2 linked regions of the Sus scrofa genome follow. The protein of the gene in region 1 binds, or shares a complex with, the protein of each later gene. Links are inferred from orthologs where the notes say so. Each region holds a gene or a part of one and is shown on either strand. Other genes may lie near its edges.

Region 1 (3,815 bases):
ACCAGCTCCCATTCCTTTAATAATAACGAACATTAGAAATCCTTAACCAAGTTACTGAGACGCACTGAGGGCCAAAGCTGGCAGCTCCTTAGCCTCCTTCTCACACAGACCTGCTGTCACCAGGACTGGGGAAGCTCAGGTCTGCTGGTCACCCGCCACCTCAGGAAAACAGCACCTCTTCCATTCAAAGCAGCAGGTAAAACAACACCTGACAACAGACCTTACCTCAGAGCATCTATTAGCTCATAGACTTTCTGCACTTCCACTCGAAGGTCATTGGCATGTTCCAGGCTGTAGGTTGTCTCTCCAGCACTAGGGAGAAATCACAGAGATGTTTGCTCTAAGTTTCATGGCACTGAATGGAGAGTGCGGTGTAAAAGAACTCTACAGGTTTAAGACCTCACAAAGGGGGAGATGGTTAATTCTCTCCAAAAGAACCTGTGTGGAATGTGTGCTCATTCCTTCTCAGAATATTATAACTGGCAATCAACAGGAAGCTGCTTTTAATTTGCAGATATTGCAGGGACACACTAGTGCCAAGGCCTATGAGGACCAGCTCCTAAGCTGGTCGCCAAAATAAATGTGACAGAATCTACTTCAGCCTACTTCCTCTGAATAATTTCAGCGCATCTAATAAGATGAATGAAGCAGTTTACTGAATGAGCTGGTTACACTACATCAGAGGAGAAGGCACGCTGATTTTCTCACTCAAAGACTACTCAGGGAGCAGAGGAACAACAGGAAAGCTGACCAAGGACTCCAGGCCACAGCCCACATGGCACTGTGTCAGTAGCCCCTGCTCCGGGTCTTATGGACAACTGCTCCCTGTGTGAGAAAAGCACCTGGACTCCAACTCAAAAAAGGAGGTGACAGGGTACAGTTCTGCCCAGGGTGGAGGAGGGGACACCCGGAAGGCCAGAGGAGTAGGGCAGTTACCACAGAGAAGGAGTCATTTACAAGTCTGCCACTGCCACTAGGCTGTTGAATTTCAAGTGCAGGGACAATGATTTTTCTTTTCTTTCTTTTTTTTTTTTTGTCTTTTTGCCATTTCTTGGGCCGCTCCCTTGGCATATGGAGGTTCCTAGGCTAGGGGTCCAATCGGAGCTGTAGCTGCCAGCCTATGCCACAGCCACAGCAATGCAGGATCCGAGCCACATCTGCGACCTACACCACAGCTCACGACAACACCAGATCGTTAACCCATTGAGCAAGGGCAGGGATCGAACCCACAACCTCATGGTTCCTAGTTGGATTCGTTAACCACTGCGCCATGACGGGAACTCCCGATTTTTCATTTTTTTATCCCTAGTAATTAGCACAAGGGACAAGTTTAATCAGTATCTACTGAGAGAGAAACATTTCAGACCATCTCTCAGCTATTAACCCAGCCTCAGCAATGGCCCCTTAACTCCCTGAGGCAACAGCAATTTAAGTTCAATAAGCAGAAAAAAACTGCCCTGTTTACCTGTTTTCCCATCTATAAGGCAGTGGTAGCTGGAAAAATCTAGATATGCATTGCAATCTAAGGATTCAGTAAAGTTGTTTCATCATTTCTTTCTTTTTTTTTTTTTGTCTTTTTAGGGCCGTACCCATGGCATATGGAGGTTCCCAGGCTACTGGTCTACACCAGAGCCACAGCAACACTAGATCCGAGCCTCAACCCTGGATCCTTAACCCACTAAGCAAGGCCAGGGATCAAACTCGCAGCCTCATGGTTCCTAGTTGGATTCGTTTCCACTGTGCCAAGATAGGAACTCCCATCATTTCAACTGCACAGTTTACAAAAAGAACATCAGACGAGAACTGAGAAGGCCTGCACTTTTCCTGACATCACCAAGTCATGTGGAAAATAACAAGGTTGGCACAAATCTGCAATCATCACCCTGGTCTCAATCACATCAACCTTAATGCACTGCACCGGGCCGGGGAGAATTAAGATAGCATTGGTGGTTGGAAAACTCTGTGAATGTTGTATGTACTAAATGTGACGTGATGGTTGTACTAAAACCACTGACCTGTATGCTTTATATTTTTTTTGCTGCATCTGTGGTATATGGAAGTTCCTGGGCCAGCGACTGAATCCCAGCCATAGCTGCAGCCTATGTCACAGCTGCAGCAATGCCAGATCCTTAATCCATTGTGCCAGGCCCGGGATCAACCCATACCACCTGAGAGACAACACCAGATCCTTAACCCACTGCACCACTGCAGGAACTCCTGAACTGTACACTTTAAAGGAATGAAATTTATGAGTTAAATCTTAATTTTAAAAGAAAGAGATGGCAGAGTTCCCGCTGTGGTGCAGTGGGTTAAGGACCTGGCACTGCCACAGCTGTGATGTAATTGTACCTGTGACTCAGATTCAATCCCAGGCCCTAGGAATTTTCATATGCCAGGGGTGTAGTCAAAAAAAAAAAAAAAAAAAAAAAAAGAGAGAGAGAGAAAGAGAGAGAGAAATGGCAGGCTAAATATGGCCCATGGGCCAAAGTTTGCCAAATCTTGCCCTAAAGGAAATGCCTGACACCTCAATGTTACCTGGAGTGGCATCTACCCAGGCTTGAGCATGAGGCAGACTGGTCTTGTTCACCCTTGGATACTGTACTTCATTCACAGTGGTGCCTTCACCAGAGGCCTTTCACAAACATGCTCAGTCAGGATAGGTGGGGTCATCTGAACATGACTACACAGGACTGTGATGTGGGCCATAGCAATACAAACTCAACGAAGACTCTCTGGTTGGGCCCAGAGTTAGGAATTTTATTTTCACTACTAAAAACTGACCTAAAGTGCGAGAAAACAGTCACCATTGAATTAGAATGACAGAGAAGAACTACTTACTTTAATGATGCTGCCATCCTGATGTATTCAGGAGCTTTTTGGTCAACTTTCTCCATGCAAGTTCGTAATTTCTAAGAAGAAAAAAGAAGAGGTGAGCTGTGGTTAGAGTACAGAAAAGCCTACCCAGAAGTTGAATCAACAGAGATACATTTAAAACATGAAGTTTTCTAAAATGAAAAAAATACCAAGAGTGGTTTTTTGTTTTGTTCTGATCATTGTTATCAATTTCCTGATTTACACACCTATTCTACAAGCAGAAAATCTTGCAGGAAGGAAAAAAAGTGAGGGTGAACCTTTGACCGGATGTTTTTGAGAAGAGCAAGGCTTCCCAGGACACAAGTCACTTGAGTTTACCAAGGCAGAGAAAAGAAATTAGCTGCTACATTCCTTCTCCTCCGGGTGACATCAGATACCAGCACAAAGCACTGCCAGGGCTCACTTCAAAGAAGGAAGCCAAAAGCAGTGGCTCTTTACCCACATGAGCTATCAGATCATGAGCTCCACAAAGAATGGGTAACTACACCTGCAGCTCAGCAAGGGTTTAATTAACACTATTTCTAGAAGCCTTAGTATCTTCATGTGATGCCAGAAACACAGCTACTCTGATCTGCAGAACTGCTAAGAGTGACCATTAGTGATCATCAGACAAAAACACCTCTCCTTTGCTCAGTTCTGCACAAGCTGCTTTCACTGTCCAGGCTGTTTTTCTCCTCCCCATTTCCTGCCTCCTCCCTGCCCAGCCCCCACCTGGGTCATCCTTCGCAGCTTGCAGGCCTCACCAGGTCAAGTCAGGCTCACTCCCAGCCTGACTCTTAAATCCCATGTTCATGCATCAGGCTATGTTCCTTAAAGTGGCATCTACTGAAGGCGTCCCAAGGTCGCTGGCAGTTAACGAGAGGTGAGGTATTTGAATGGACTTAAAAGGGAAAGCTCTAAGCCTCTGGGCAGTTTATCAAACTCCTGAGCGAGTGTCCCAG
Region 2 (3,815 bases), on another chromosome or scaffold:
CGGCCTTGCTGTGAGCTGTGGTGTAGGTCACAGATGTGGCTCGGATCTGGCGTTGCTGTGGCTCTGATGTAGGCCAGTGGCTACAGCTCCGATTCAACCCCTAGCCTGGGAACCTCCATATGCCATGGGAAACGGCCCTAGAAAAGGCAAAAGACAAAAACAAAACAAAACAAAGCAAACAAAAAAACACATTCTCCTTCTAAAGTGATTTAAGAGAAAAATTATTTGTGCTCCTACTTTGTCTTGATTGTGGAATACACAATGCCACACTCTCCTAAGGAACTCACTGGTCCCAGAGAGTAAGTCAGCTTCTAAATTAGGATGCATTTACTCAGAAGAGTTTCTAATTCTTTTGTAAATTACTGCTGCATGGAGAAAAACCTGACTTTTAGCTTGTCTTAAAGCTTCCAGAGGTGAGGTTTCTGAAATCTGTGTGGGGGAGGAGGGAACAATTATGTATTAAGAATATAGTTATTTCAAATCCAATTTTCAAATATTTTTATTATGTTAGAGAAAAAGCTACCTGAATCGTTCTTGGCCTGCTGTGTCCCATATCTGTAACTTTACATATTTACCACCAACATTTATTATCTTTGAACCAAATTCCACTCCTATTGTATGATTTGAGTCATCTTTGACTGAAAAAGAAAAAGAAATTTAAGTTTAGAATGTTAAGGAAACAGGTTTATAGATTTAGAGAAGTAACATTAAAATCAATAATTAAGTCAATGGAAAATGCAATTTTCTTTATCATTCATTTTCCAACAGTCAGATGATAATAAGCACTCATTGTTTTAAACGAACACACACAGTTCCTATTCTCAAAGACACAATACAACTTTTTCTCAAAACCTCTAAACAATCCATTTTTTTTGGTCTTTTTAGGGCCACACCTGCAGCATATGGAGGTTCCCAGGCTAGGGGTTGAAACAGAGCCGCAGCTGCTGGCCTACGCCAGTCACAGCAATGCCAGATCCCAGCGGAGTCTGAGACCTACACCACAGCTCATGGCGATGCTGGATCCTCAACCCACTGAATGAGGCCAGGAATCAAACCGCGTCCTCATAGATACTAGTCAGATTGGTTTCTACTGAGCCACGATGAGAACTCCACGACCATTATGTTTTAAAACTGAGGCTTGAAGGGGAACCACACCATGAGATGGTACCTACCGGACACTGCTAAGGTTCTCATAAGTGGTAAATGAATAAAATACAGGGTGCCATCTTGAAGGGCTTACCACCTGGTGACAGTTCTACAACTTTGCCAATGATAGTTTCAACTATTTGGATAAATATTCTATTTTTTTTTTTCTTTTGTCTTTTGGTTGTTGCTATTTCTTGGGCCGCTCCACGGCACATGGAGGCCCCCAGGCCAGGGGTCGAACCGGAGCTGCAGCCACCGGCCACGCCAGAGCCACAGCAACGCGGGATCCGAGCCGCGTCTGCAACCCACACCACAGCTCACGGCAACGCCAGATCGTTAACCCACTGAGCAAGGGCAGGGACCGAACCCACAACCTCATGGTTCCTAGTCGAATTCGCCAACCACTGCGCCACGACGGGAACTCCTGGATAAATATTCTAAACAAATAAAAGCAAAGGGAGGGAAAAGCACTGTAGCCCAAGAAAGAAGCTTGATGGACACAAAAGGTGAAGGAAAATCGGGGAAAAAATAGAGTTAAAAAAAAATCTGGAGTTCCCGTTGTGGCGCAGCAGAAATGAATCCGCCTAGGAACCATGAGGTTGCAGGTTCAATCCCTGGCCTTGTTCAGTGGGTTAAGGATCTCGCGTTGCCGTGAGCTGTGGTGTAGGTTGCAGATGTGGCTCGGATCTGGCAATGCTGTGGCTGTGGTGTAGGCCAGAAGCTACAGCTCTGATGAGACCTGTGACCTGGAACTTCCCTATGCCTCGGGTGCGGTCCTAAAAAGGAAAAGAAAAAAAAAAAATCCAAAACAAACTCCAAACCAAAAACTCTATCATATTATAGCTGTTGAGTTGTCATGAATTTTAGTATTGTAGGGTGATAATTTGGAATGAAATTTGTTGGAGAAATCAATACTTTGTGAATGGGCAGGGAGGCAGGCAAAATAAGTAGTCTGCTCCACCCAACTGGAATAAGCTAGCTATAAAAGAAAATTTCTGAGATGTTGGAAGGATAAGTTAAAAATACATTTCATGGCTCTACAGTTCATTGACTGGTTTATATTTTATAACCATAGGATAAAATTTAATTGTACCAGAAATCAGAGATGCTTCTTAACAGCAGTGTTTACTGCTTCCTGGGGATGAGAGGGTGAAAGGTTATTAGTACTGGCACTGGCAGCTGTCTCAGCCCAGACAGTGCAGACTGAGTGTGGATACCTGGCTAGGATTCAGCTCCTGGGCAAGCCTTCAGAGGGTGACCCTAAAGGCCAAGGACATCCTGATTAAGACATGGCTACAACAGAAATAAAGTGAAACCTATTTCCTCCTGACTGTGGTCCTGTGGAGTTAGGGAGGATCTGGGGGGGGCGGCGGGGGGGAGCCTTCTCCACAGAGGCTGGGCCCCTGACCTGATGTTCCTGAGCAGTCTTTTCTGAGACAGAACAGTGCAAAGCCTGGTAACTTGTAAAGAAGCTTGACCGCCCAGTAAATGGATGCTGGTTAAATTCATAAGGCCTGGCTCCCTGACAAGCCACACTGGGTTCCTGTCCCACACAGGGGTTTGAGCTCTGGGTTGATGAATGTGGAGGCAGAAGGATACATTTCTAGACTACGGTTCTTCAAAGCTCTTTCCCAAGACACTCTGTGCTGCCTCTTTCCCCATTTTACCCACTACTTACTGTATCTTATGCACTTCATTAAATTAAATTAATTCTGTTTTCAGGCTCTCACCTGCCTACCCCTACCGCTACCAAACAGGCCATTCTCCACAATTCTTTCCATCAGTATAAAGCATTATTTTGAGGGCCTTACAATCATACCATCTTTTACAGTAGCCTGGAATACAGAATTCAACCTCCCTTACCAAAACATGTAGGTCAAGGACAAGAGATATTTTCTGTGCTCAAAGGCCCAGGTTTATTTCTAAGCAATTACTAGGTGACCACTCTAGAGCATGCACACTAACTCCTCTAAACCTCTGTTTCTTTACCTGTAAAACTGAACTGATGACAATACTGCCTTAATGACAGTACAAGGCCACTGAGGACCAAATGTTATTTATCCAAAATGTGCAACTAGGGTTCTTGGGCCACCTCCTGTCAGGAAATGGAATTCCTCTGCTGTTTTCCACATCATCATATTGTATCTTAGTATCTAGAAAATGTACAGGACAATTCACTACATAATGAACAATGAACTACTATAAAACTAAAATGCTAAATAAAAACCACATTACTAGAAGTTTAATAGCATGAACTTTTAACGTCATTTAAAAATATTTTTAAGCCACAAACTTTTTTTCCTGAAAACTTATTTGGAAGTTTTGCTGTCAACAAATTTGAGCAGAAGCACTCTCAGAAGAAATTGAGAACACCATGTGACATCACTTACATTTTTTCTCAATAAACTGATGAAGCAAGCAAGACTTGCCAGTTCCTGCATTTCCAATAACCAAGAATTTAAACAAAAAATCTGAAAAACAAAAAGAGACCATGAAAAAGAACTTTAAAACAGGTGCTGTGAACGTAGTCTACAACTGTAACATTTAATGAAATCTTGGTTGTTAATATAACAGAAAAAAAGAGGTAACAAGATTTTGTGAAAAAGGCAATAAACACACGGACTTACCTTTTTACCTTTTCAGCATTTGGTTTCCATGCTGAGCCAGTG

Evidence for each region.
Region 2: the proteins of RBSN (region 1) and RAB4A are in contact, whole or in part, in a crystal structure (PDB 1Z0K), measured with the Homo sapiens proteins. The link is inferred for Sus scrofa from reciprocal best matches to the Homo sapiens genes RBSN and RAB4A. Residues at the interface, in NP_001289307.1 of Homo sapiens: Glu441, Gly442, Trp443, Leu444, Pro445, Ser447, Glu454, Pro458, Leu459, Gln461, Gln462, Asn465, Ile466, Phe469, Asp480, Glu481, Thr484, Leu485, Asn488, Leu492, Glu495, Gln499; in NP_004569.2 of Homo sapiens: Tyr10, Leu30, His31, Ile34, Glu35, Ile46, Gly47, Val48, Glu49, Phe50, Gly51, Ser52, Lys53, Lys63, Gln65, Trp67, Arg74, Phe75, Ser77, Val78, Ser81, Tyr82.

Annotation. Positions count from the first base shown.
Region 1 is NC_010455.5:69,420,887-69,424,701, reverse strand, and holds part of RBSN (rabenosyn-5), read right to left. Parts: intron 2,910-3,815; coding exon 2,839-2,909; intron 313-2,838; coding exon 226-312; intron 1-225. UniProt on the Homo sapiens protein: Rab4/Rab5 effector protein acting in early endocytic membrane fusion and membrane trafficking of recycling endosomes. Required for endosome fusion either homotypically or with clathrin coated vesicles.
Region 2 is NC_010456.5:60,500,767-60,504,581, forward strand, and holds part of RAB4A (ras-related protein Rab-4A), read right to left. Parts: intron 3,618-3,815; coding exon 3,537-3,617; intron 639-3,536; coding exon 524-638; intron 1-523. UniProt on the Homo sapiens protein: The small GTPases Rab are key regulators of intracellular membrane trafficking, from the formation of transport vesicles to their fusion with membranes.